Anolis sagrei: one gene and its partner. The protein of the gene in region 2 interacts with the protein of the main gene of each other region in a biochemical or structural test. Links are inferred from orthologs where the notes say so. Each region holds a gene or a part of one and is shown on either strand. Other genes may lie near its edges. The genes, in order: DAB2 and MYO6.

Region 1 (15,037 bases), on a different chromosome or scaffold from region 2:
AACAATAGAATTGGGCTAAACTTCCCACACAGAATCCCCATGACCAACAGAAAATACTGTGTTTTTTATGGTCTTTGGCAAGCACTTTGACACCCACTTGCGACCTCCCCCTAGGGTTCCTAACCTCCAGGTTGAGAAACACTGCTATAGTACAATTACAGACACAGTGCTGTGGTGGTTTACGTTGCTCCCCTGAGAATTGAAGAGCAGGATTATACTCTCACCTAAGCTATGAAAATCACTGCCAATTTGGGCCAGACCCTCTCTTGGCACCTGATATGCCTCACATGACTGTTGTGAATGTAAAGTAAGGAAGCCAGAGAGGTACATGTGCTACCTTCACTTAACCAAAGGAAAAGTAGGATATAAACATAAATAGTGAATAAACATAAACTTTATCTTGTGGACCATCTTCTTTAAATCCCAGCTGACTCTGTTAAGGGCTTAGTTCTCTGGCTATTAGCAATCCTCATAACACCTTTAACTCTCCTGACTACACCTGTGGGGTAGAGGTCACCAGTCCCTCCTCTTGCAGGTTTTCTTTCACACTCTGCAGAAGCACATTTCTATTTTAGGGCCAGCAGCGTTTGGCTCTCTCTCCTATTTCCTGACTGCAGCCAGAACTTAAGAAATGAATTCTGAGAATACTCCCAGGCAGAAAACCTTCCTAGGCATATGACTGGCTGGCTTCCTCTGTGGCCACCATCAATAGGAACCTAAGAGGAAGGCTGAGTTATGGGTTTGTTTTCTGCTTTTGTTTTTTGCACCTCAATAAGGTGTCTAACAAGTTGGGTGAGAATTTCCTCACCAATAAGCAGGTGATGGGGTTACGTTTGTAGGTTTTCAAATCCTATGCCACAGGCTCAAAACAGGCAACACGACAATCTTCAACCTTACAGGCACTTCCTTATTGACTACACAGTTAGCCCTCCATATTGATGGATTCTATTATCCACATCTTGAATGTATATACATATACACACACACAATCCCAAAAACAACCCTTGGTTTGGCCCTGTTATGTAATGGATACCATTTTACTATGTCAATGTATACAGTAGGTTTGAGCATCCATGCAATGAGCATCAATCCAATGCAACCTGAGCCCTGCTACATGCACAATGGAGGACCTTCTTGCGGCAACACCAGAGGCACTCCAAGTGGCCAGCTACTGGTCAAAGGACATTTAATCAACTACCAAGCTTGCAAACTCTGTTTTTGTCTGTTTGTTAAAAAATTGTTTAAAAATGTAATACAACTGTCTGGTTGCTACTGACACGATAAATAAAATAAATAAGCATCCATGGATTTTGGTATCTATGTGGGAGAGTTTCCTGGATCCAAACCTCTGCAGATACCAACGATCCTCTGTATGAATCTTGCATTCCCCAAACACTGTCTTAAGACCACTACCCTCCACAAAAATAGCAACTTCCAAGTATATTATCATGCATTTTATCAAAGTTTGTTTGTTTGTTTACTCTGAATTTATTCACTTCAAAATACATGGGTACTGGGTTGTGAGTGTTCCAGGCTGTGTGGCCATGCTCCAGATGCATTCTCTCCTGAATTTTCACCCACATCTATGGGAGGCATCCTCAGAAGTTGAGGGATCTGTTGGAAACTAAACCTCAATTGCCTAGTTTCCAATAGATCTCTCAACCTCTGAGGATGCCTCCCATAGATGTGGGAGAAACATCAGATGAGAATGCTTCTGAAACATGGCCAGGCAGCTCAGAAAACTCAAAACAACCCAGTGATTCTGGCCACAAAAGTTTTCAATTCATTCTGACAGTCCCTTATTAGCAAGATATATTTTCCCCTTCCTTGACTGGGTGAAATGGAAAGAAGAAGAAAAGCACGAGACTTTCAGGAAGGCTCCAGGACCTTTGAAAAGTTAATTGTGCTAAGTTTCCAAGCAACTTTTGCCAGGAGCAAACTCCCAAGACAATGCTAGCCTTCCTGGCTCAACCGTTTAGCCCTGGTCCAAACCCCTTTCAGCCGGTGTTTATTATTGGAGGAACAATTTACTATTGCCACCTGGCTTCCTTAAGTGAACTCCTGTTTGTTTTCACTTGAGTCTGAGGAATGTGCTGTCAAAGGCTTTCATGGCCAGAATCGCTGAGTTGCTGTGAGTTTTCCGGGCTGTATGGTCATGTTCCAAAAGCATTATCTCCTGACATTTAACCCACATCTATAACAGGCATCCTCAGAGGTTGTGAGGTTTGTCAGAATCTAGGCAAATGGGTTTTATGTATCTGTGGAATAATGTCCAGGGTGGGAGAAAGAACTCTTGCCTGCCTGAGGCAGGTGTGAATGTTGCAATTGGCCACCTTGCAGCTACAAAGCCTTGCTATTTCCTGCCTGGGGGAATCCTTTGTTGGGAGGTGTTAGCTGACCCTGATTGTTTCTTGTCTGGAATTCCCTTGTTTTTTGAATATCGCTCTTTATTTACTGTCCTGATTTTAGAGATGTGTAAAACTGGTAGCCAGATTTTGTTCATTTTCATGGTTGAAATTGTCTACATGCTTCCTGGATACAGCACATTATTTGAGAACACAGAAATGCTGGACCTCTCCAACAACTTCCATGTCAGACTACTCAGAGAAGCTATTGAAATCCACAAGCATGTGGACAATCTGGAAAAAAACCTCTAAAATCAGGACAGTAAATAAAGAGCAACACTCAGAAAACAGGGGATATCCAGACAAGAATCAACAGGGCCAGATAATACCTCCCAACAAAGGATTCACCCATGCAGCAACCAGCCAGGCTTTGATGTTGCAAGGCCATTCAATGCTAATCAATGTGGCCAATTGCAATATTCACACCTGCCTCAAGCAGACAAGAGTTCTTTCTCCTATGTGGACATTCACGGATATATAAACCCCACTTGCCTGGTTTCCAACAGACCTCACAACCTCTGAGGATGCCTGCCATAGATGTGGGTGAAATGTCAGGAGAGAATGCTTCTGGAAAATGGCCATACAGCCTGGAAAACTCAATAAACCCAACCAGAGGAATGATTTTACACCTGGGAGGAAGCTCTGCTAACTTCAGAGAGGTGGTTCTGCTCAGCAGGGACTACATCAGCCTTGAAGCTTATCAGGAGTCCATATTTAAGGCTCACTTAAGCCGCTCGGCACCTTTAAAGATGTGGCATGAGTTTCAAGGAGGCTATAACTCTCCCTCTGATAGTCCTGTTGTATCAAACTTCTAGTAGTCTCTCTCTCAACGTGAAGGCATTCTTGACCCCCTGTCACTTAATTGCGGCCTTGTTCTATTTCACTCCCTTTCATTTGTATACATTAGCCTGCCATTTCCAAGGCTTGTTTATTTTCCTTGGGCTTTGCAGGCCTGCTGTCAACCCTCTCCAAATTGGCAAAATCCTCTCTCTTTTTTGTTTTGTTTTTAAGGGTGGTACTTTACTTTCCAGGCAGCTTTTGCTAGGACATTCCTGCCCAGTCCAAGTTTCCTAGCCTTTACACACAGGCAAACACACCAGGCCCACGTCTCCCTCGCGCCCCATTCATTTCCCCCTTCCTTCCTTCCTTCCTCCCTTCGGCCTCCCTCCCCAACACCCAACTTGGCCAAGAGTCCTGAATTCCTTAAGAGAGAAAGCTCCCTCTCAGCAATTTTCTGGCATTTAGGGAGACTTTGAGAAACCTGGAAAGGAGAGAAAGGGGAGAGAGTGTCTTGGGTGTTTGTAGACCTCGCACACTCTATCCCAGGAATGGGCCAACTTGGGTCCTCCAGGTGTTTTGGACTTCAACATCCACCATTCCTCACAGCCTCAGGCCCCTTCCTTTTCCCCTTCAGCCGCAACTTGGGTCCTCCAGGTGCTTTGGACTCCAACTCCCACCATTCATCATAGACTCAGGTCCCCTTTCTGCCTCAGCTGCAACTTGGATCCTCCAGGTGTTTTGGACTTCAACTCCCATCATTCCTCACAGCCTCGGTCCCCTTCCTTTTCCCCCTCAGCCACAACTTGGTTCCTCCAGGTGTTTTGGACTTCAACTCCCACTATTCCTCACAGTCTCGGTCCCCTTCCTTTTCCCTCTCAGCCACAACTTGGGTCCTCCATGTGTTTTGGACTTCAACTCCCATCATTCCTCACAGCCTCAGCCCCCTTCCTTTTCCCTCTCAGCCACAACTTGGGTCCTCCATGTGTTTTGGACTTCAACTCCCACTATTCCTCACAGCCTCGGTCCCCTTCCTTTTCCCTCTCAGCCACAACTTGGGTCCTCCATGTGTTTTGGACTTCAACTCCCATCATTCCTCACAGCCTCGGTCCCCTTCCTTTTCCCTCTCAGCCACAACTTGGGTCCTCCATGTGTTTTGGACTTCAACTCCCATCATTCCTCGCAGCCTCAGCCCCCTTCCTTTCCCCCCTCAGCCACAACTTGGGTCCTTCCAGGTGCTTTGGATTTCAACTCCCACCATTCCTCACAACCTCAGGCCCATTCCTTTTCCCCCTCAGCCACAATTTGGGTCCTCCATGTGTTTTGGACTTCAACTCCCACCATTCCTCACAGCCTCAAGTCCCCTTTCCCTCTCAGCTGCAACTTGGATCCTACAGGTGTTTTGGACTTCAACTCCAACCATTCCTCATAGCCTCAGGCCCCCTCTTTTTCCTTAAGTGGCTGAGAGGGAGAAGGAAAGGGCCTGAGACTGTGAGGAATGGTGGGAGTTGAAGTCCAAAACACTTGGAGGCCCAAGTTGGCCCATACCTGACCTATCATCACAATAGAGAGAAAAAATCCACTTAAAATCCTACAGAATTCTGGGATTTGTAGTTTAGTGAGTTTGTTAAAGGCTCCTCCTTCCACTGCAAACGCCACAATTCTGCAGGAGGCAGAATCCGGATTTTAGGTGGATTTTTTCTCTATTATGTTGAAGCAGCTCAGAAAAATTACTCAGCATAGGAGGGTGAAGGCCAATATAGTGGACCCAGGTATCCGCTAGGCTTGGGTTCCAGGACCACAATGGATACCCAAATCCGTGGATGCTCAAGTCTCCTGGATGGTGTGGCTGTCCTTTATGCTTCCAGCATGGATGGTGGGATCCGTGGGCGCAGAATCCGTGGTCACGGAGGGACAACCGCGCTTGCCTTTGGGCCCAACGAAGTCAATGGGAAAGGTAGCTCCCAACTCCTCCCCCGAACAGCCACAAAGCCAGGCTTGAAAGTGCAGTTCTTTAAACCCTATGTGAAAGCGGAAAGGTGTCACTTGAAGGTATTCCGATGTGAAGGCCGCAAGGGTGGCTCCCGAACCCCGGAGTCTCCCGCAAAGAAGGCGTCCTCCGAGCCCACCCGCTGGCCCCAGCCCCTCCGGCGCGGGACTTACGCGAAGCCTAAGGGCGATCCGCTGGGCGCATGACCCTCCTCCTCCTCCTTTTCCGACCACCCGGCAGCCGGCAAGTGAGCTGTCAGGGCGCGGGGCGCTTAAATAGCCGCAGCCTCCTCCCGCTCCTCCTCCTCCTCCTCGTCGTCGTCCTCGGCCGCCCAGCCACTCCGGGCCCGCGAGGCTGGTTTTAATCAGAGGCTGGCAGCTGAGCGCGGCCCAGGAATGCGCCGCCCTCCTCTCGCCGCCCCTGGGCTCCCGAGGCTCCCCCGCGGCAAGGCCCACGCTTAACCCTCGCCGCCCCGGAGGAGGAGGGAGAAGGAGGAGAGGAGGAAGAGGACAGGGAGGGAGGAGGAGAAGGAGCAGGAGAGGACAAAAGAAGGAAGGAAGAGAGGAAGAGGTAGAAGAGAAGGAGAGGAAGGAGTGGAGAAGGAAGGAGGGGAAGAGGAGAAAGAAGGAGTAGAGGAAGGAGATGAGAGGGAGAGAGGAGGAGAAGGAGTAGGAGAGGACAAAAGAAGGGGGAGAGAGGAAGAAGTAGAAGAGAAGGAGAGGAAGGTGTGGAGAAGGAAGAAGGAGATGAGGAGAAAGAAGAGAGGGAGAGGAAAGAAGGAGGAGTAGAGGAGGAAGATGAGAGGGAGAGAGGAGAAGGAGTAAAGGAGGGAGAGGGAGGGAGGAGAAGAAGGAGTAGGAGAGGACAAAAGAAGGGGGAGAGAGGAAGAAGTAGAAGAGAAGGAGAGGAAGGTGTGGAGAAGGAAGAAGGAGATGAGGAGAAAGAAGAGAGGGAGAGGAAAGAAGGAGGAGTAGAGGAGGAAGATGAGAGGGAGGGAGGAGGAGGAGTAGAAGAGGATGAACCCAATAAAGGAAAGAGAAGAAGATGAAGAGGAGGAGGAAAAAAGAAGTAGAAGAAGAGAAGGGAGGAAGAAGTAGAAGAGAAGCAGAGGAAGGAGTGGAGAAGGAGAAGAGGAGAAAGAAGAGAAGGGGAGGAAAGAAGGAGAAGAGGAGCAGAGGAGGAAGATGGGAGGGAGGAGAAGGAGTAGAAGAGGACAAACAGAATGAAGGAGGAGAGAAAGGAAAAAGAAGAGGAGGAAAAGAAGTAGAAGAAGAAGAGGGATGAAGAAGAAGAAAAGGAGAGGAGGGAGAAGAAGAGAAGAAAGACGCGAGGGACAGGAAAGAAGGAAAAGAAGGAGTAGAGGAGGAATAGGAGAGGGAGGGAGAAGGAGGGGAAGAGAAAAGAAGAGGAAGAGAAGGAATGAGGAATGGGAGGAAAGAGAAGTGGAGTACAAGGAGGAAAGAAAGGTAGAAGAAGAGAAAGAGGAAGGCAAAGAGGAGGAATGAGAGGAGGTAGAAGAAGAAGAGAATGAGAGGGAAGGAGGAAAAGTAGTAGTGGAGGAAGAGGAGAGGGAGGGAAGAGAAGAAGGAGTAGAAACTACCAAAATTCCACAGAATGGAGCCATGACATTGGAAAACTACACTAATAGGAGTGTGGATACTCCCACTATACATGTTTATCTTGTTCAGTGGATGGCTGCTAGTCATAATGACTACATATTACTTCCAGCAATGGGTTAAACACTTGTGCTGGCAGTAGGTTCAAATCCAGGGAGCGGAGTGTGCTTCCATCTGTTAGCTCCAGCTTCCCATGTGGGGACATGAGAGAAGCCTCCCACAGGATGGTAAAACATCAGGGCGTCCCCTGGACAACATCCTTGCAGACAGCCAATTCTCTCACACCAAAAGCGACTTGAAGTTTCTCAAGTTGCTCCTGACATGAAAAAAAAACTTCATCATTGAAGGCAAGGTACTTCTCAACACCAGCTGATAGGCTACCATGAGGATGTTAGTGCACTCCTGTCACATTTGTGGGGTTCCTCTAGACATCTGGTGAGCTGCTATGTGAGCAGAACATTACACTAGATAGACCTTTGGCTGTAGTGGGTGCATTACAACACTCCACGCAGTGTGACTCTGGCCTTACAGGAAACAGGATAGATTCAAAGAACTGGAACCCAAATGTCCACAATCCCTGCCGACTTCCTTTGGAAATAGATCAGACAAAGTCCACCAAGTCATTTTTAAAGAGTCCAACTCAACACATAATTCTGGCTTTTGGACATGCAATGGAAATATATATATACACATATTAGTGAATCACATAATTCCCAACCCCAGGTTGATTGCCTTCTGCAAATCATTGCCAACCAAAAAATAAATAAATTAAAAAATATTCAAATAGATATACTTAGCAATCTCCAGGTCACTTCTGCCTTAACCATTTTTTCTCAGGTATGATAAGTATGAGAAAAATGCTCAGATACTGGTGTATGTAAATGCATTTGGGCCATTCTGAACAAAATCAGAATGTCAGTATTGCACGTAGTAGTGAAGCTACTACTCATGAAACCTTTTGATTGAGATAATAGATGCTTGATAGCAATTCTTTTTTTCAAAAATGCTACAAGACACACCATATTCTATGGGATTTTTTTAATGTCCTCGTGGCTTGACAGGCATAATGCTAAATGTGTGATACAGAATGCAATGACTGGCCTAAATGCAATGCCAAACATGATAACTGCTGACAGATCAGCTTCCATCTGAGGAATCCTGAATGCAGCAGCCTGCCGTGCACTGAAAAACCTGGTTAGGGAGGCTAGGAACTCCCTCAGAATCAATCTTCAAGCAGTAACAGAAATACTTAGAAGCAAAGAACCTCTGATTAGTATGAAGTTATAGCCAGATGTGTGATACATCAGCTAAAATGGCTATTGCAATTCTAGATTGCATTGACATTGTCTAGACCAGGCCTGGACAGCCTGTGGCCCTCCAGTTGTTTGAGCTTCCAACTCCTAGAAGGCCTAGCCATCTTGTCCAATGGTCAATTCTGGGAGCTGAAATCCAAAACACCTGAATGATGTCTTGATGAAACAGAAGAGCTATCTGGCTGAGGATTCTACGGCCCCTTCTACACAGCTGTATAAAATCCACATTGAACTGCATAATATGGCAGTGTGTGCTCAGATATTCCAGTTCAAAGCGGATATTGTGGATTATTTGCCTTGATATTCTGGGTTATATGGTTGTGTGGAAGGGCCCTGGGGGTCTCTTATTCTACTATTGCATTTGGAAGGAAGTGAAATATACTGAGAAAGCTTAGACACATCCTCAATGTTGCAAGCTCTTTACATATCACACAGCTCATTAAAATAGCAGACTGATGCACTGTAGCGGATCATGTATAAATGAACAGGTATACAGGTGAAGCCCCAGTCTGATTTTCATCTCTACTATTAATTCATTAGGTAGCCTTAAATAAGTCAGTCTCTGGGTTCATCTATACTAGGCATGGGCAAACTAAGGCCTGCAGGCTGGACACAGCCCTCTGCACCCTTATGTCCGGCCCTCAACATTTCCCACAACCTCTGGGCATAAGGATGTGGCTGGCTGCCGAAAAGATGAGGGAGGAAGACATGTGGTGTCTGGGAGCCCTCCAGAGTGCTTTCAGTTGCTGCATGTCTTTCTTGGGCCCTCCTCATGGCCCAATGCTGGTCTGGGTGAAGAGGCAAGCAGTGGGTGAAGTGGCTTCAAAACCACCTTGTCTGTCGCTTGCCTCTTCTTTCTCCTGGCATCAGGAGGAGGTGAGGCTGCAGCCTTATGCCAGGAGAAGCCCAGCCCGGGAAAAGAGGCAGGTGGCAAGTAAAGCAGTTGCAAAGTCACCTCAGATACCTTTCCCTTCTCCTGGTGTCAGGATGAGGTGAGGCCCCGTCTGATGATGGCAGAAGAGATAGGCAGGTGGGGAAGCCTCATCTGCCTCCTAGCATAAGAATGGGGTGAGCAGCTCCATCCTTATGCTCAGAGGAAAGCATGAAGATGATCGGCCCCTGGCTCCTCCCCTCCCCACCCCTCTTCCATCCCTCCTGGGATTGCTTTGCCCTGGCCCCGCCCCTCCCAGGTCCACCCCACCCCCAGTCTTGCCTTCTCCATGGCCTGCTCCGCCCCCAGCCCCACCTCCTTCTGAGCCCACCTCACCCTTCCTCCTGGTCTTGCCATCCCTCCTTGCCTGTTCCTCCGGGCAATGTGGCCCCAGGGCAAAAAAGTTTGCCCATTCCTGATCTATTCTGTAGAATGAATGACACTAGTATAACTGCCCTGGCTTAACATCATGGAATATTGGGATTTGTGGTTTAGTGATGCACCAGCACTTTTTGACACAGAAGACTAAAGAGCTTGAAAATTGAGTTGCCTTTAGTCCATGACACTGCAGTTGTCAAACTGCATTAATTCTACAGTCTAGATGCACTCTCAGTCTCCACCTCTATGCACAACATGGGGGTGGAGGGAGTTTTTGTTTAACAGGATTGTTTTAGAAAATATAACTAGAAAATAGAAGTTACTGTATATACTTGAGTATAAGCCTAGTTTTTCAGCCCCTTTTTTAGGCTGAAAAAGCCTCCTTTGGCTTATACTCAGGCAAGGGTCCTGGTGGGAAGGCCTGGGGTTGAAAGAAGGGCATCTTTTAGCCCCACGCCTTTCTTGCAGGACCCTCACCACTCCGCACAGCAATCCAGCTCTCCTTCCTCTCCTCTTCTCCTGCGCAGCACACACCTTCCTCTCTCAGTGCGGTGTGTGCCTTCCTCTCCACCTCTCTTGGTGCCAGTCTTTCCCACTTTTCCTTATTCATACACACACAGTATTTTCCACAAACTGTATAGTTAAAATAAACTATGGTCATTATTGGAAGGATATGCAAATACATTTACACTGAAGAAGGTTAGAAAAATGATTTAATCAGAGTTGGACAGTCTTATCTTAAATTACAGCTTTATATAAATATTCAAAAACATTTAACCTACTGATGCCTCAATTAATGTAGTTTTATTGGTATCTATTTTTATTTTGATATTTACCAGTAGCTGCTGCATTTCCCACCCTTGACTTATACGCGAGTCAATATGTTTTCCCATTTTTTTGTGGTAAAATTAGGTGCCTCAGCTTATATTTGGGTCAGCTTATACTCGAGTATATACAGTAATTGATTTGGCCAGCTGAGAACATTATATGTGTCTCTGTGTGTGTGTATGAAATGCTTCCTCTTCCCTGTCCTCTTCCTCCTTTCCAGGGCTATAATTTGCCATATATGAGAAATCACATGGGGGATTTGTTTTAGTAACAAATATACATGCAGAACATGAATGAAAGTATACTGACCGCCCTTCAAGGCAGACAATGCCCCAGAGAGCCACCTGGGCAGCCTTCCAAGACTGCACCCTTACTCTGAGCTAGGTCTGGTTGGAAATGTTCCGTTCTCTTTCTTTTTCACACTTTGTGTCCTGAATTTCCAGTTACTCACTTAATTTGTCTCTTCTGGGCTGAACATTACCTTCTTCGGATTGAGTTAAGCACAAAAATAAGTTTTTAACCATTTTGTCCTCACATACAAGGATGCATATTCTCCCTGTTACAAGAGAAATTGAATATACTCAACTCTCCACATTAGCGGTTTTGACCGCTAATTTGATTATTAATGGATTTGATTAAAATGTTCTTTCTAGGAATTTCTCGGTGCTCCAATACAATTCTGTTATCAGCTTCCAGCTGAAGTTGACTTTTGAATCATGCTGGAGGATCTAGAACAGTGGTTCTCAACCTGTGGGTCATGAGATGTTTTGGCCTTCAGCTCCCAGAAATCCTAACAACTGGTAAACTAGCTGGGATTTCTGAGAGTTGTAGACCAAAATACCTGGGGACTCACAGGTTGGGAACCATTGAACCCTATAAGTATTATCTCAAGCAAGTAGTAGTAGCAGCACTAGTAGTAAGATTGATATAATATTAATAGATAAGTAACTTGATAGAAATGGCCATTTTAATTCATGATTTCTCACTTTCATGGAGTCCTGCATCCTAAACCCAAGACCGACTTTATTTCTTTGCAGCCTTCTTCCCCTATCAGAATGTTCCAAACTGCTGCAGAGGAATTTTGCAAAGAATAAAACGGGTTTTGTGCAGAAAATCTGTTTTATGTGTAGGAAACCCCATTTCTGAGCAGAAAACTTTAGTAGGAGCTGGAAATCTGATACTGAAACCCAAGGATTTGCTAACTGATAGTTACACTGGGCTTGTGTACACTCTAAAAGTTCTCAAATGTGTGTGTTTGTTCAGTAGTATAGCTCTAGTGGGTATTTAAAATATTTTAAAACAGTAGTTCCTAATCACTAATGAAGATAGTCATTCTACACTTTTAGCGGTTCAAAACATAACTTGGATCATAATGTTATTGGCATGATTTGTGGATACTGGATTATTTGTATTTATAGTCCATTTCATACTTTTAAAAAAACCATTCTCTGTTTAAAAGCACCTAGCTGTTCCCTGGCTTTCCCATCTCTATAAGAAAATGACAAAATCGCAGACTTCCTTCCATTACACAATGTATGTTTAGAACAGTGGTTCCCAACCCCTTTTTGACCAGGGACCACTTTGTCCAGGGACCACTCTCCAACATTAGTACCAAAATGGTTACAAATCAGTTTTTGGTCAACTTTAGATTTGGTTTGGTTATTTGGGGTGCTGATTGAGAAAACTGCATTGGATAGACATCAGCTCTAGTTTCTGATACAGAACATATGCCTTCCAGTAGTCACCATCTGCTCACCCAGAAAATAATACCTAACCATATTTAAACTATGAGACCGGTCATTGCAACGGTGTAGTGACGGTGAGGCTGCACACCATATTTTAGTCCTTGTGGACTAAACTCCTTCTAAACCAGGTTGGGAACCACTGGTTTAGAAGGTGCAAGTTCATTGTTGAAAAATAATCCTCTTGGACATCAGTGGAATGCCTCCTTCATACAATTGTGTCAGAATTGAAACATTTATATATGTTAATCCAAACAAATAAACCAACCAGATGAGACACAGTTTTTCATCCATGGATTAAACACACTGGGCTTACTTGCTTAATGTGCTGTAAAGACAAAACTGCTAAGTAAGATCTTCTATCTTTGCAGTCTCCTGCAAAAGTGAGTCCCTAGAGCCATACTCCAAAGCCCTATCTTGATGATATGCACAATTAAACATGAGGATTGCACGTTTATCTTCCGTTATCAACTGGAGACTATCTATTTGTGGTTTATATTACATTTGTGTGTCTTACAGGCAGTAATAACAAATTTTCAAAGCTTGTGTGCATGTCAAACAATTACAGAGGATTTAAGTCAAGTGAGTAAGAATAATTATAGAAAATTAGTATGTAGGGGATTTTTTAAGGAGGCATGTTTAATAAGATTCCCCACCCACCACTCCAAAAAGATTTGGTGTGTCAGCAATAACTGGGATCATCTAGCCCTTAGAATAGGGTGGTAAGAGTTGACAAGGTTGAGCATTCCTTATCTAAAATGCTTGGAAACAGATATATTTCAGATTTTGAAATTTTATTTGGATTTTGGAATACCTATATTTGCATATTTGTACATAATGAGACATCTCAGAGATAGCACCCAAATCTAAATATGAAAATCATTTATTCTTACTTACACAGGGTGAGGATAATTTTATACAATATTTTTGTACATATAACAGTGTTTGTGTATCTTGAATCATTAGAAAGCAAAAGTGACATTCTCTGAGCCAACCATGTGGACAAATTTTTGTTAAGGGATGCTCAGCTGCTAGTACTAACATATGTTTATAGAGTCCACTCCTGCAAATGGAAACTCCATAGTGTGAATGAGCTGTTTGTAGAACAGTGAATTCCTTCCCATAACTGCTAAAGATATAGATGAAAGAATGTAATGACAAGAAGTAGGCAATTCTGGATAAGGGATGGCAAGATACTAAGCCATGTGATATATCTCCCAGCTTTAGAATTCCATCATGGATAGACAAATTGGAAGCCTATTTTTCTTACTTAAAATGAACGATGTCTTGGACTTTCAGGCAAAGCAAACCACTCAAGAGAATCCACAAAATGACTAGAGAAATATATATATATATTTTTTAAAAAATATTGTTCACAAAGAAAACATATTGTTATTTTTACATAGAAAGTGGAGAAACATTAAATTAATAAGAAGTAGTAAAAAAGAGAAAAAGAAAAAAAGAGGGGAGAAAAAATCCAAGTAAAACTAAAACTAAAAGCAACTTACAAAAAACACCCAAAAATCAAAGAAGAAGAAGAAGAAAAGGGGGGGGGGGATCCCATTGACTTCCATTCTGTGCCTCTGTCAATTATAGTTTTCTTGCTCTATAAATTAATGTATAGTTTGGGAGAAAAGAATAGACGTAAAAATTCCAAAGTTAGGTACAGTTTTTTTGTTTTTTTTTTCTTTCTCATATTCCTCAAAAGGAATCCAGTCTGTCTTTTTTTCTTAAACTTCCCGAGTTGTTTTTCAAGAGAAAAGTTAGTTTGTCCATGTCTCTGATTTCTCTTAGTTTGCCTAACCAATTATCAATGTCTGATATCTTATCCATTTTCCAAAGCTTCGCATAAGAGATTCTCTCTGCTGCTGATATATATGTGCTGTCATGCGCTGGGCCTATAGCAATTGGCTTTTGAACAGGACGTGCTCTTTGTGCCCAGCGGGAAGCCAGGGTGCCTCAGCCAAGAGGCTCTAAGGATTTTCCTATACAAAGTCTTTAGAAGCCTGAAAAGTTTAACAAGGTCCTTTATTATTATTATTATTATTATTATTATTATTATTATTATTAACTTTATTTGTACCCCGCTAGCATCTCCCGAAGGACTCGATGCGGCTTACACGGGCCGAAGCCTCAAAACACAATACAATAGAAAACATTGTTGTTGCTTAGGTCTTCAACAAAACAATCAAATACTTCTCAGATCTTCAACAGGTCAAACAAATACTTCAAGGCTTTGAATCAACTGGTGGCTTTCTTAATCTTGTCCACAAGGAACAGGCAACTGGCTTCGTGAACTGTTTGTTTTCTTTAAGAGGAAAACCCTTTTTAACCCCTCCTTGGGCAATCTACTTTCTAAACTTTGCTGGTGTGGGCTCTACTCCCAGCTTCAAACTGCTTCTTGGGTCCCGTGTAGACCTACCAGTCAAGGCTTTGTAAATTCTCCAGCTGGAGTCCTTTGGAACTGTTTTCCCCTGGAATTTCATAAGAAATGAAGCTTCTCTACAGGTGGAGCTGATTCACATCCTGTAGCTAAGCTTTCAACTGTAAGACTGAGCTAAAATGGCTCCCTTTCCTTCCTGAATCCTGGGGAAAGGGGTGGAACTAAAAAACCCAACGATGATAGGCAGGTGGCTGCAAACCAAGGGAAGCCACCTTATTGCAAAATGCATGGAACTTTGGAATGCATGCAAACACTCAAAGGAAAAAAAGGAAGTTGGAGCTCCTGGTACAGCCATACCAGCACAATATAAGTACATAAAATGTCCTTATTTTGGTCCAAGATTAGCTCTGAGTCCATAAAGCCTAGTAAGTAATATTCCAGTTTTCTTGGGAATGTCATTCTAAGTAATTTTTTTGAGACTCTTCATGTATAAATTTCCAATATTTTTTTGACTTCTCTACAAGACCACCACATATGGAAGAAATTCCCATCGTAGTCATGACATTTTCAGCATTTTTTTCCTACATTTTTGTACATAAGGTCAAGTTTCTTAGGGGTAATATACCACCTATGACTAGAGAAATATTCTGTCCAAGCCTAAAGTACAACTCCAT
Region 2 (14,918 bases):
AGAGAGACAATGCCGAATATCCCTTGAGCTCAATGCGTTGGTTTCACAATGATTAGCTCGGTACATATCAATATAATACTAATTAATGTAACTAATATAATTTTGTTAACTATTTTGCATCCCATACTGCTGGAAAAGCTAGATATAAATTGAATGAAGTAAACAAACAAACATGTGCTATACTATACCGGTGGCGCAGTGGATTAAACTGCTGAGCTGCTGAGCTTGCTGACTAAAAAGTTGGCAGTTCGAATCTGGGGGAGTGGGGTGAGCTCCCACTGTTAGCCCCAGCTTCTGCGAACCTAGCAATTTGAAAACATGCAGATGTTAATAGATCAATAAGTACCGCTTTGGTGGGAAGGTAATGGCACTCCATGGAGTCATGGCGGCCACATGATGTTGGAGGCATCTACCAACAACACCGGCTCTTCAGCTTAGAAATGGAGATGAGCACCACCCCCCAGTCGGACACAACTAGTCTTAATGTCAAGGGGAAACCTTTACCTTTAATAACAATATTTAATCCAGATACCTTAAGGAAAAGTCAAGTCTTTCAAAAATGTTAAAAATCTCATGTATGAGAGACAGCGTGGCATAGTAGTTTGGGAGTCGGGGTAGGCTCTAGAGAACTGGGTTCAAATTTCTGTTTGGTCATGGCAACCCACCTTGACAAGTCTCACTCTCTCAGCCTCACAGGAAGGCAACGGCAAACAAACTTTACCAAGAAATTCATGAGAAAGGTTTGATTTGGTTGGCAATTATTTGAGTGAATGCAACAACAAACTATTTACAAACCAGCATAAACAGTCAACTGGTCCATCAGATCAGATCACTTTTTCATTCCTCTGACGCTATCAAATGACACAACTTTCCGTAAATTTCATACTCAAATTTGAACAGCACAGGACAAAGTATAGATGACTGATGCAGATACCATCTTACATGGACTGAACTTTAGCATCAGCAGCTGCACTGCTCAGAAGCAGGAGTATTTTTTTCAAGACTCATTATGCAAATTAATTTTACGTATATCCACAATTCACAAATCCATTTCTCAGGATTGGCTTTTTGAATTCCTGTTATCTTGACTTTTCACACTACAGCCTGTGGACTACAATGCAAGATACAGTTATCATAGAGATGCTACCAAAAATGACCTTATACTCTATTGTTTTGGAACAGTTATCTCACAGAACAAAGGATGCATCTCTACACTGCAGAATTAATGTAGTTTGACTCCACTTTAATGCTATGGGATCCTGAGATCTGTAGTTTGCCGAGGCACCAGCACACTTCGGCAGAGAAGGCTAAAGACTTGTAAATCAGTGTTTCTCAACCTGGGAGTCGGGACCCCGGGAGGGGGGGTGTCGTGAGGGGGTGTCAGAGGGGTCTCCAAATACCATCAGAAAACACAGTATTTTATGTTGGTTATGGGGGTTCCGTGTGGGAAGTTTGGCCCAATTCGTTCATTGGTGGGGTTCATCATGCTCTTTGATTGTAGATGAACTATAAATCTCAGCAACTACAGCTCCCAAATGTCAAGGTCTATTTTCCCCAAACTCCACCAGTGTTTACATTTGGGCACATTGAGTAGTTGGTGCCAAGTTTGGTCCAGGTCCATCATTGTTTGAGTCCACAGTGCTCTCTGGAGGTAGGTGAACTACAATTCCAAAACTCAAGGTCAATGCCCACCAAACCCTCCCAGTATTTTCTGTTGGTCAAGTTTGGTTCAAGTTATGTGTACCATATTCTGTATTCTGTATGCCAAGTTGGTTCAATCCTTCAAAAATTCCATTGTCGGTGGAGTTCAGAATGCTCTTTGATTGTAGGTTAACCATAAATCCCAGCAACTACAACTCCCAAATGACACCATTCCCCACCCCCCACCCCACCAGTATTCAAATTTAGGCGTATCAGGTATTTGTGCCAAATTTGGTCCAGTGAATGAAAATACATCCTGCATATTAGATCTTTACATTACGATTCATAACAGTAGCAAAATTACAATTATGAAGTAGCAATGAAAATAATTTTGTGTTTGGGGGTCACCACAACATGTGGAACTGTATTAAGGGGTCACGGCATGAGGAAGGTTGAGAAACACTGTTGCAAACAAAACTACAAGTCCCTTGATTCCATAGCATTGAGCCTTGGCAGTAAAAATGGTTTCAAACTGCATTCATGTCGCATTGTGGGTGTATCCTTGGTTTTAATGCATTTTATCTAAAAAGAAGATTGTTGCCTTTTCCCAGCGGAAGGGAAGTAGAGTGTTTCTCCTGTATGAAGCTCTGGTGTGCACCTGAAAGGACAGCAAAAGAGGAAACTTTCCAACCAGGGCTTATCTGCTCTTATCTGCTCCTCCTTGTACTGCAGGAAGTTTGTTCTGCCATAAATATGAAGACAGGAAAGCCTTACTTTCCCTCACCAGAAATCACACAGCGTTTCCTCTTCCTCTCCCCCGTCCCTTATTTTTCTCTCAGATGAAAACAGAGGGGTAGCAAAAGGACTTGGGATTCTCTGTTAACACACCAGACCCTCATGTTTCACATAAGTCATCACAGTCCGAATTGATTAGCAAATGCCAAGTTAATTTAAAGAAAGATCCAACTAGGGGTGCATCTACATGGTGGAATGGATTCAGTTTATTACGGTAGACTCAATTATTTGGATTGCTACATGCCTGATAAATGTAATTTCTGGTTGCTTGACAGCTACTATTCAAATAGGTCTAATTAATATTATACCCCAAACTCTGCATCGGCTTGATATTAATACTGAAATACATTAATTAATAGCATATTAAGACAACTAAAGACAAGCTTAAAAACAGCTATGTGGATGCAATGTTATTTCTTTGATTTTTATTTCCTGGATGCTTGAGTCTGCTAGGTAAAGGTTTCCCCTTGCCATTAAGTCCAGTTGAGTCCGACTCTGGGGGGTGGTGCTCCTCTCCATTTCTAAGCTGAAGAGCCAGCATTGTCTGTAGACACCACCAAGGTCATATGGCCAGCATGACTGCATGGAGTGCCCTTACCTTCTCACCGAAACTGAAGAACAGGAAACGTAATATTGGTGGACAGGAAAAGAGATTTAAAGATGGGCTTAAAGTCAACCTTAAAAACTGTGGCATAGACACGAGAACTGAGAAGTCCTGGCCATAGAGCACTCTAGCTGGAGGTCAGCTGTGACCAGCAGTGCTGTTGAATTCAAAGAGGCACAAATAGAGGGCGAAAGGGAGAAACATGCTAAGAGAAAGGCACATCAAGTCAACCCTGATCGGGACCACCTTCTACCTGGAAACCTATGTCCTCACTGCAGGATAGCATGTGAATCAAGAACAGGGCTCTACTGCCACCTACGGACCCACCGCCAAGACACTACTCTTGGAGGACCATCATCCTCTGGCTACAAGGGATCGCCTAAGCAAGTCCCGCCAAAGTGGTACCTATTGATCTACTCACATTTGCATGTTTTCAAACTGCTAAGTTGGAAGAAGCTAGGGCTAACAATGGGAGCTCACTCTGTCCTGTGGATTCGAACCACTGACCTTCTGGTCAGCAAGTTCTACGGCTTAGCGGTTTAACCCACTGTGGCCCCGTGTCTATTAGTCTACTAGTATATTATTATTTCAAGTGTTACAACATCTGCTCTCACACATCATAAGGCAATAAACACATATGCACTGTGCATTTTCTCCCAACTCATTCACTAATACCAGGTGACTACATCAAGTACGCAAACCGAATGGCAGTTGTATTTTTTCAGAACTGGAAAAGTTGCCAGCATATTTCTCCTTTGGTCAAGCCTTCAGCAACCCCTCCCTGTCACAATCACTTCCTTGCAAAGGATAATTACTGCGTTGTCGAAGGCTTTCATGGCCAGAATCACTGGGTGTTTTCCGGGTTGTATGGCCATGTTCCAGAAGCCACAGATGTGGCCAGAACATCAGGGGAGAATGCTTCCAGAACATGGCCATACAGCCCAGGAAAATCACAGCAACCCGATAATTATTGCATTTCAACCCAGTTCTGAAATTAAGTAGCAATAACTGCCAACCTGTGTTTCCTATGACAGAGTGGGAAGGCAAATCATCCCAGCCGGAAATGAGTTAAAAACTCAAAAGAACCAAGACCCTGACACTTCTAAGAGTAGGGCATACAAATAAAGATTCAATCATGTCTAGATTTAGAGCAGGCCTGGGCAAACTTTGGCCCTCCAGGTGTTTTGGACTTCAACTCCCACAATACCTAACAGGCTTTCTCTGCCCAAGAGTGCTGGTGCCTCACCAAACTACAACTCCCAGGAGCCCTTTGCATTGAGCCAAACTGCATTCATTACACAGTAGAGATCCACCCTCTTTCTGGATGGGTGTGTGCATATCTGTTTGCAATTAATGCAGTGTGACACCACTTTACCTACTATGGCTGAGTTCTATGGAGCCATGAGAGTTGTAGTTTGGTGAGGGACCGCGATTATTGAGCAGAGAAGGCACAAGGCCTTGTAAAACTACAACTCCCAGGATCCCTTAGCATTGAGCCAAACTGCATTCGTTCTACAGTGTAGATCCACTCTCTCTCTGATGGGTGTGTGCATCTATGTTTACAATTAATGTAGTATTCATGCCACTTTACCTGCCCTGGCTGAATGCTATGGAGTCATGGGAGCTGTAGTTTGGTGAGGGACCGCAATTATTTTTACAAGGCCCAAGGCCTTGTAAAACTACAACTCCCAGGATCCCTTAGTATTGAGCCAAACTGCATTCATTCTACAGTATAGATCCACCCTCTCTCTGGATAGGTGTGTGCATCTATGTTTACAATTAATGCAGTGTGACATTTCTATGTGACAGTGTGACATAGCTGAATGCTATGGAGTCATGGGAGTTGTAGGTTGGTGAGGCACCGCCAGTCTTAGACAGAGAAGGCCCAAGGCCTGGTAAAACTACAACTTCCAGGATCCCATAGCATTGAGCCAAAGTATCAAACTGAATTAACACTATACAATAATACTATAGCGTAGTGGGAGTTGTAGTTTTACAAGGTCTCTAGCCTTCTCACCTACAACTGCAAATCCCATGATCCAATAGCATTGATCTGAATTAATACTATACAATAATACTGTGGTGCAATGCTATAGCATCGTGGGAGTCATAGTTTTACAAGGTCTTTTCGCATTCTCAGGCCAAAGAGTGCTGGCGCCTCACCTACAACTTCAAATTTCAGGGTCCCATAGCACTGATCTGAATTAACACAGTATACAATAATACTATAGTGTCGTGGGAGTTGTAGTTTTGCAAGGTCTCTTGCCTTCCCAGGCCAGAGTGCTGGAGACTCACCTAAAACTACAAATCCCAGGATCCCATAGCATTGATCTGAATTAACACTATACAATACTAAAGCGTCGTGGGACTTGTAGTTTTACAAGGTCTTTTAGCCTTCTCAGGCCAAAGAGTGCTGGCGCCTGGCCTATAACTACCAACCCCAGGATTCCCACGGCAGTGCAAGCGGTGTCAAAACCGCATCAATGCCAGAGTGTAGAAAGTGCGCAACAACTTCTCCAGACCCCGAAGTTGGATGATTGGTTTGGTTGGACACCAAGATTGGCTCCAAATCTGATCAGAGGATAAGAGGCGAGCAAGAGAAACGTCAAGCAGAGAAAGGGAAGAAGGAAAGCGGCCAAAAGAGAGGAGAGACTCAGGCTGGAAAGAGGAGGGAGGGAAGGAGCGCCAAGCCCTGGGCCCCGAATGTATGGAGAAGCCGGGGAGAAAGGCACAGTCCATCTTGCGGGAGTGGGGGGGGGGGGGCAAAGGAAGAGGGATCAAAGGCCCGGTCTGTGCCCGGCTCCCCCTCCCGAGTTTACCTGCTTTGGTCGCAGCCACGGCGCGCGCTCTGTCCCCAGCTGATGCCGACTCGGCCCCGGCGCTGCAAGGATGTTCCTGCTGGGGCTGCCGCCGCCGAAGCCCCGCCCCCGCGTTCCAAAGGGAGCCAAGCCCGGCCGCGATTGGGCTCCTCCTTCCGTGACGTCACGGGAGGAGGAGCCAACCCCCCCCCCCCAGGAAGAGCAGCAGCGGTGGCTCTCTCCCCGGCCTGTGGTCAGAATGGTCATTCCCGGGAACTGAGCATGCGCAGTGCGAAGCACGAAGGTATGCGCCCTGAAGCGGGCATTCCACTCTTGGAGACCAGGTGAGCCTTACAACAACAGCAACAAAACTGTATTTATATACCTCTCTATCTCCCCGAGGGGACTCAGCGGTTTCCAAGTAAAATCATCAATACATACAGTGTGTACAACATAAACAAAAATTAACAATACAATATAAGCATTTAAAAAACCACAATAGCACATATATATTTAAAATGCAAGTGATTTCCAAATGAAAATTGTAAAGTGAAAAAAGTGAAGACAAATACATTTGATTCTATTTTAACCTCTGCATGTTGTGGTTTGAAGTTGCCCCAAGGGTGAGAATGGCTTGATTAGCATTTAATGGCCTTACAGCTTCAAGGCCTGGCTTCTTATTGCCTGGGGGAATCCTTTGTTGGGAGGTGATTAGCTGGCCCTTATATATAAACCCCAGTTTCCTAGTTTGCAACAGACCTCACAGCCTCTGAGGATGCCTGCCATAGATGCAGGCGACACGTCAGGAGAGAATGCTTCTGGAACATAGCCATACAGTCCAGAAAACTCACAGCAACCTAAAACAGGTATCCTTAAAATGTAGCCCTCCAGCTGTTTGGGCCTCCAACTCCCAGAAGCCCTAATGAGCTTGTTCAATTGTGAGGAATTCTGGGAGTTGAAAGCTGGAGAGCCACAGTTTTAAGATGCCTGACCTAGAACATTGTATTGTTTAGAATTCAGTGGTAAATGTCACTTTGAAGGCTTTCATGGCTGGAATCACTGGGTTGCTGTTAGTTTTCTGGGCTGTATGGCCATGTTTCAGAAGCATTCTCTCCTGATGTTTCACCTGCATCTATGGCAGGCATCTTCAGAAGTTGTGGGGTCTGTTGCAAACTAGGAAACTGGGGTTTATAGATCTATGGAAAGTCCAGGGTGGGAGAAAGAACTCTTGTCAAAAACAGGAGGATTCCAGGTAAGAAACAATGAGGGCCAGCTACTCACCTCTCAACAAAGGATTCCCCCAGGCAGAAAGCAGCCAGACCTTGAAACTGCGAGACAGCAGTTCTTTCTCCCACCCTGGACATTACACAGATATATAAACCTTGCCTGCCTAGTTTCCAACAGACCTCACAACCTCTCAGGATGCCTGACATAGATATGAGAAGAATGTCAGAAGAGAATGCTTCTGAAACATGGCCATACATCCTGGCAAACTCACAGCAACTCAGTGGTAAATGTATTATATCTCCTGGTCCAAAAATACAAATAAAAATATGAGACCTAGAATAATAATAAAAAATATTGACACTGTTTATGGTTTTGGGTTTTGTTTTTGTTTGTTTTTCTCGTGTTAAGAGCGATTTGAGAAAATGCAGCTTGCTTCTGGTGTGAGAGAATTGGCCATCTGCAAGGACATTGCCCAGGGGACACCCGGATGTTTTGATGTTTTACCATCCTTGTGGGAGGCTTCTCCCACTGTTTATGTGTTGTGGGATGAAAACATGACACTATGTAACAAATTTGGAACTATGTTGTGTTCCTGGTTTGAAAATGTTATTTTCTGTTTAATTGTGTGGTACTTACTTTGAAAGTACTCGTTATACTCCAAACTTCGTTTTTGTGACTGCCAAAAATATGTTGAAATTGTTGAGACTCAATGAGATATTCTTGAAAAACTATAGTAAAATAAGCTACAGGGTGTCCTTTTCCATGTTTTAATGACAGAACCAATTAGGAAATGACATGTATAATCTGTGAACATCCTGCAGCTCCTCCACGATGACATGATGGCAACAGTCTTGAACAGCAATGGCTCCCAAAGTGACCCATTTAAGGTGGAATCAGGTTTCAAACAGGGATGTGTTATTGCCCCAACCTTATTTTCCATCTTCATCACTATGATACTTCATCTTGTTGATGGGAAGCTTCCCACCAGAGTGGAAATCATCTATCGGACAGATGGCAAGCTATTTAACCTCAGCAGACTGAAAGCCAAAGCCAAGGTCACAACAACATTTGTTGTAGAACTCCAATATGCTGATGACAATGTAGTCTGTGCACATTCTGAAGAAGACCTACAAACCACTCTAAACACCTTTGCAGAAGCTTACAAGAAGCTTGGCCTGTCATTGAACATCGAGTAAAGTGTTCTCCAGCAGTCACCAGCCAATCCCTCTACAATGACAGAAATACAGCTTAATGGTGTAACATTAGAAAATGTTGACCATTTCTGTTACCTTGGCAGCCATCTCTCCACAAAAGTCAACATTGACACTGAAAGGCAAAACCAGCTGAGCTCTGCAAGTGCAGCATCTTTCTGAATGAAGCGGAGAGTGTTTGAGGACTGGGACATCCGTAGGGATACCAACATGCCTGTTTATAAAGATATTGTCTTCCCAATCCTGTTATACGCCTGCAAAACATGGGCTGTCTACAGACATCACACAACTTCTGGAACAATTCCATCAACGTTACCTCTGAAAAAACCTGCAAATCTCTTGGGAAGACAGGTGGACAAATGTCAGTGTGCTGGTAGAAGCAAAGTCTACCAGCATTGAAGCGATGGTCCTCCACCATCAGCTCCACTGGACTGGCAACATTGTCCGAATGCCTGATCACCATCTCCTAAACCTGTTACTATACTCCCAACTCAAGAATGGGAAATGTAACATTGGTGGGCAGGAAGAGAGATTTAAAGATGGGCTTAAAGCTAACCTTAAAAACTGTGGCATAGACAGAGAACTGGGAAGCCCTGGTCCTTGAGCGCTCTAACTGGAGGTCTGCTGTGACCAGCAGTACTGCAGAATTCGAAGAGGCACGAATTGAGGGTGAAAGGGGGAAAGCATGCCAAGAAGAACCGCCTTCCACCTGGAAACTGATGTCCTCACTGCAGGAGAACATGTAGATCAAGAATAGGGCTCCACAGTCACCTACATATCCACCGCCAAGACACTGCACTTGTCATACTCAGACAAGGGATCACCTTAGTAAGTAAAACATGTATAAGCCAAGAACAAAAATCATGTTATGTAGCTCAAGGCATGTGCAAACTGTTAACAGTATTTTTTCATTGTTTCAAGCTTTTGTAGCCTAAATGAAGGCATTGCATGAGATGGGATTCCTTTGTATCTCATTTTAGGGGATTTCCTCCTTATTCTTGACATCTGCATTACAGAGTTTCTCCCCAAAATTTTTATTACTTGCCCAGCATACAATTCAGACATACTGTCTCGCCATGTCACAATGATGCACAAATAAATATACCAGGAAAGAAAGGGCAAATGTATATTGCATGCCATCATTGAGATGAAAAGGTACAAAGAGTGGAAGATCAAAGGAAGCAGATAATCCTATGCTTTGAGCAGAGCGGGTAGAGATGCCCTGTCCAGATCTTCCTGTTATTTAAACCAGTTCTGAACACGTTTGTTTTCTTTCGTCTTCACTTCTGTGAGTCAAGGCAGCCACTTTCAGCTACTTAGCTGACACACACATTTTTCAGTAATGGCAGATAATAGCATCCCTTTGACCCAGAGCCCGAAGTGGTGACATTAAATTGTTTCCCTCTCATAGAAGCATAGAGTTGGCCATCCAGCCCAACCCCCTTTGGCCATATAGGAATACACAATCAAAGCACTCCAGACAGATGACCATCCAAGCTCTGCTTGCAAACCCCCAGAAAGGAGATTTCACCACATGCCAAATCACTAGCAACTCCTACCATCAGGATGTTCTTTCCAATGTTTAGGTCAAATCCTTTCCCCTGCAGCTTGAATCCATTACCTAGGCCCTGGAGCAGCAGAAAACAAGGTTCTTCTATCTTCTAGCTAAATGAGCTGTCAGAATTCAAGAACTCAACTCAAGACCTTCTCTTCCAGTAGGCCTACCCAGTCAATATATTGTCGAAGGCTTTCATGGCTGGAATCACTGGTTTGTTTCTTTTTTTCTATTGAAATAGTTCAAATGCTTGTGGATTTCAATGGCTTCTCTGTGTAGCCTGACATGGCGGTTGTGAGAGTGGTCCAGCATTTCTGTGTTCTCAAATAATATGCTGTGTCCAGGTTGGTTCATCAGGTGCTCTGCTATGGCTGACTTCTCAAGTTGAAGTAGTCTGCAGTGCCTTTCATGTTCCTTGATTCATGTTTGGGCACTGCGCTTGGTGGTCCCTATGTAGACTTGTCCACAGCTGCATGGTATAGGGTAGACAGAAAGGAAGAAACCATGAAAATGAACAATATCTGGCTACCAGTATTAAAATATTCTAAAATTATAATAGCAAAGAAAGAACAACACTTAAACATGGGAAAACTCCAGACAAGAAACAATCAGGGACAGATGATCATCTCTCAACAAAAGATTCCCCCAGGCAGTAACAAGGCACATCTAAAAACTGTCAGGCCATCAACTGCTAATCAAGGTGGCCAATTGAAACATTCACAGCTAACTCCAACAGACAAGAGTTCTTTCTCCCACCCTGGAACTTCCACAGATATATAAACCCAATTTTCCTAGTTTCCAAGAGACCTCACAACCTCTGAGGATGCCTGCCATAGATGCAGGTTAAATGTCAGGAGAGAATGCTTCTGGAACATGGCCATATAGCCCAAAAAACCTACAACAACCTACCCCGAAAACTTTGAACCATGACTTTGGGATTTGAATTTCATTGCCACTGTTTTTTGATCTTTGTACTATTAGTTTTGGTGTATCTATTTTATAGTGGTGTGTTTTTATCAGGCAGGTAACAAATGAAATTTATTATCATCATTGTCATCGTCTCTCACCTATAACTGAAGCAGCAATCCCATTTTGTGGCCTTTCAGAAATCATAACAGAGAGGCAGCAAGTCCTATTAGCCATTTCCTTTATGAGTGATTTCATTCCAGGCATTTAAAAACGGCTTCCAAGGTGTGTTTGGGCAGGGTTCTTGCTCGAGCCAGGCATGCTTCACTAATGACACTGTTCATTCATGTGACATGCTCTGGGTGACGGAAACAAAATGATTCCTGCCAGGACAATTATGGTTAATCGCTTCTGCACCTCCACCTAGGTTTGTATTCACTTTGGTTTTCAGGCCATTCCAAATTCAGGAGGGGTTGAAACTTTTTTCCCTTCGAGATGACTTTTCAGGTCAGTGTGTCCTAATTTGGCACAAGATCTCAACAAGGCCCTGAAAGTACCATCATTGTGCAAAGGTTCTTCACGGGTAATAGGTCCTGAATTATTGCTCCCTCTTCAAGCCAGTTCTTGTCGGCCACAAAGGATAATAGTTTCTACAGTTGGCAGAAGCTTATTTATGTTTTCTTCTTTCTTATTTCCTTTATCATGATGACGGGTTGCAGACGTTTTCAGCCAAACACCAGTTGTTCTGATGATACTGTTTTTTGGTGTCTATTGAAGACTTCTATTGCATTTTCCATCACACAAATGGTTTAGCAACCAATGTACCAAGCTTCTAACCCAACTTCTCCTCCAAACACCATACAGTACTTCCAGAGTGCAACTTGTACATGAAATGAGTAGGCTAACCAGGGAAATCTACTAAACCATTTGGGTTGAAATCCCAAATATGTCTTCATATTCACAGGAAATACACATCCTGGCAATGGAGTTTGTGGATTTTGCACTAATTGAGCTTTCACTTGGTCATCAGAAACAGTCTTGTTCATATAAAGTCCAATAACAAAGCTTCTCTTTGTCCTGTTCCATTATTTCCTTGGCAGGGCTTGGATTAGATCATTGGTTTTCAACCTGTGGGTCTCCAGATGTTTTGGCCTACAAATCCCAGAAATTCTAGCCAGTTTATCAGCTGTTAGGATTTCTGGGAGCTGAAGCCCAAAATATCTGGAGACCCACAGGTTGAGAACCACTGGATTAGATGAACCAGTGGCAAACACCTCAGTTGCCTGCTGGCTACCACATTTTGGCAGCTTCCACTGCACTCACTTCCATTCTGTCAGTTATTGCTTCTATTGCAATGTAAATTGGTAGAAAGGTCATTAATGATAGTATGAATCAAAGTTTTGTTGAGCTAATGCTTATAGTTCTGGAGGCACTCTTGCTTCTCATGTGCTTGGCATGGAGATTTGGTTCACCAGTTAAAATTCATGAGTGAACAATGTTTTACTTTTGACCTGAAAATGTTCACAGGTGGTTTGAACCCCTAAATTGCCCCCTTGGCTACAGGCTTGGGCCACTCCCTTTGGTCTGCTTGTTTCCTTGTTACACCTTCAAAAAGAGCATTCAACAGAATAAGGAAGCCCTTTGATCTTGGTTATGAGGACTATTCAGGTCAGGATGTTGCATTAGTCTAGGTATATTACACTACCAGACAAAAGCTGGAGCAGAATTTTGTGAAGGCTTTTTGCCCTTCTAGTTCTGAAAAATAGAAGGAACTATTTATTCCCTTTCTTTTCCATGGATATTATGGTGTCTGGTATCTCCATTGGCCAGCAAACAGAGTTCAAGGACCCAGGTAACTTCAAGAGACAAAGAGCATCTAGGGAAGCCCTGCTTGTGACGCCCTGAACTTTTATGGCGTGCCAGTGGTGACACCATCATTATAAAATTCCTCAGACATCTAGCTTCCTCCCACTACCTTATCTTTTAGTGACAATTTTAAAGATCTGTACACACTTTTGTGGAATAAGCCAAATAGTTAACATCTTTTTGTTGCTGTGATAAAATATTAGTGCTAATTATTATATTCTTATAATAATTCATTGATTGTACAATTACTCAGTGTGAGTATTTCTGCATGTAAGAGGGTTTTTCCAAAGTCTTGTATTGTTTTCTCTTACAAGATTGCTTGTGGCATGAGCTAGTAGGAATAGAAACAAAACCATGGGAGCATGGAGAGGTTTTTGGCAGTCAGTGCTGCCCAAAGAAAGAAAGCACCAGGAAGGACACACTGAATCAGTCCTACTTACATTTGTACAGGCAATAAAGTAGGTTCCGGTGAGCCATACTGCTGACCACTTGCTGGCATGAGAAAATAGCTTACATATTTGAAGAAGCCTTTTGAGAACAGTCCGTAATCTGAACAACTCTCTGTTCCTCTGTTTTTTTTATCTTGGAACATGCAACTTAGCAGGAACTCCTATACCTTTGGCTCATAGTTGGTGTTAGAATTGGAGACTGTAGTGGCATAGATGGCACACAGTGTATCTCCTTTTGTTATTTCAAGCACATTATTTTACTTGGACTGCAAAACAGCGAAAATGCATCAGTTAAGTTTTAGTCTCTTTGAACAGACCTTATATTTCCTCCAGACTAGCAGAAAACACAAGGTATCTAAGTTTACTTTGAAGATCACATTTCCAAAATATTAATTTTCACAAGCTAGTTTTATGAACAAGTTCTACAAGTAGCCAATTTTTCAACTTTTCAATTTTTTATTGAAGAATTATTTTTCTCTTCCTTGGGCCACAGTCTATTTTTATGCTATAACAGAAAAGAGGTATTTGTACTACATGGAAACCTGACAGTCAGTGATCTGGTGGTCTGTTTTTCTTATTTGGAATATATACTAGCGAAACACTCATCAAAAGAAAGAAAGAAAAGGAAACAGTTTTTGTTAACTTGCCAACAAGTCTGGGTGTTGCCCATACGTCACCTTTTGAAATTTCTCATTTGATTGAAAACAACCAAACTAAAAAAATTACAGCAGTAAAATGTAAAAAGTGGAAAATATGTAAGTTAAGTTCTTGTGGGATTTTTCGGGCTATATGGCCATGTTCTAGAGGCATTTCTCCTGACGTTTCGCCTACATCTATGGCAAGCATCCTCAGAGGTGCATCCCCTCACCTGCATCCCCTCACCTCTGAGGATGCTTGCCATAGATGCAGGCGAAACGTCAGGAGAAATGCCTCTAGAACATGGCCATATAGCCCGAAAAACCCCACAAGAACTTAGTGATTCCAGCCATGAAAGCCTTTGACAATACAATATGTAAGTTATTTCCCAGATAAAATTTAATTTGCCCTTTTAAGCTGCATTTCAAGTCTTTTTAGTATACACTATAAAGGTAAAGGTTTCCCCTTGACATTCAGTCTAGCCGTGCCCAACTCTGGAGGATGGTGCTCATCTTAATTTCTAAGCTGAAGAGCCGGCCTTGTCCGTAGGCGCCTCCAAGGTCATGTGGCCAGCATGACTCCATGGAGTACCATTACCTTCCTGCCGAAAACGGTTCCTATTTGTCTACTCATATTTGGATGTTTTCAAACTGCTAGGTTGGCAGAAGTGGGAGCTAACAGTAGGAGCTCACCCCACTCCCCAGATTCTAACCGCCGATCTTTCGGCCGGCAAGTTCAGCAGCTCAGCAGTTTAACCCACTGTGACGGGGGGCTACATGAACTTAAATCTGTGGCCTCAACAACCGTAAAACAAAAAAATTAAGTTCTTTCTTAAGAACTTAAATCTTAAGAATCATCGAGCAGACGTCAGACTGCATCTAAGTGTTGAACATTTTTTATTATGTGCTGATGCAAACCACAGATGACAAATTAGGAAAAAGGCATGCAAGCTATCTTGGGAAGTGCACAAGAGGTCTGGAAAAAATGAATATCTTCTGATCTATATCTCCAAAAATAATATGGTCCCAGTCATAAATATACTTGTTACCAACAAAAGAATGAAGGAATGGGGTTTCTGTTTCTCGAGCTACAATATCAATTAAGCTGATTAGGCAACTTTTGTTAAAATCATTAGACCTGTAAAAATGTCAGACTGTACATCAGCATTTCTGCTGGAGTCCTCTTGACCCAGCAATAGGTTCCCAAAGCGATCTATGTTAAATATATTTA

What was found.
Region 1: the proteins of MYO6 (region 2) and DAB2 form a complex in vitro, tested with the Homo sapiens proteins (7 studies listed by BioGRID). The link is inferred for Anolis sagrei from reciprocal best matches to the Homo sapiens genes MYO6 and DAB2.

The regions. Positions count from the first base shown.
Region 1 is NC_090022.1:277,765,245-277,780,281, reverse strand, and holds the start of DAB2 (disabled homolog 2), read right to left. Parts: upstream 5,617-15,037; 5' UTR 5,346-5,616; intron 1-5,345. UniProt on the Homo sapiens protein: Adapter protein that functions as a clathrin-associated sorting protein (CLASP) required for clathrin-mediated endocytosis of selected cargo proteins.
Region 2 is NC_090021.1:110,728,129-110,743,046, forward strand, and holds the start of MYO6 (unconventional myosin-VI), read right to left. Parts: upstream 5,969-14,918; 5' UTR 5,860-5,968; intron 1-5,859. UniProt on the Homo sapiens protein: Myosins are actin-based motor molecules with ATPase activity. Unconventional myosins serve in intracellular movements. Myosin 6 is a reverse-direction motor protein that moves towards the minus-end of actin filaments.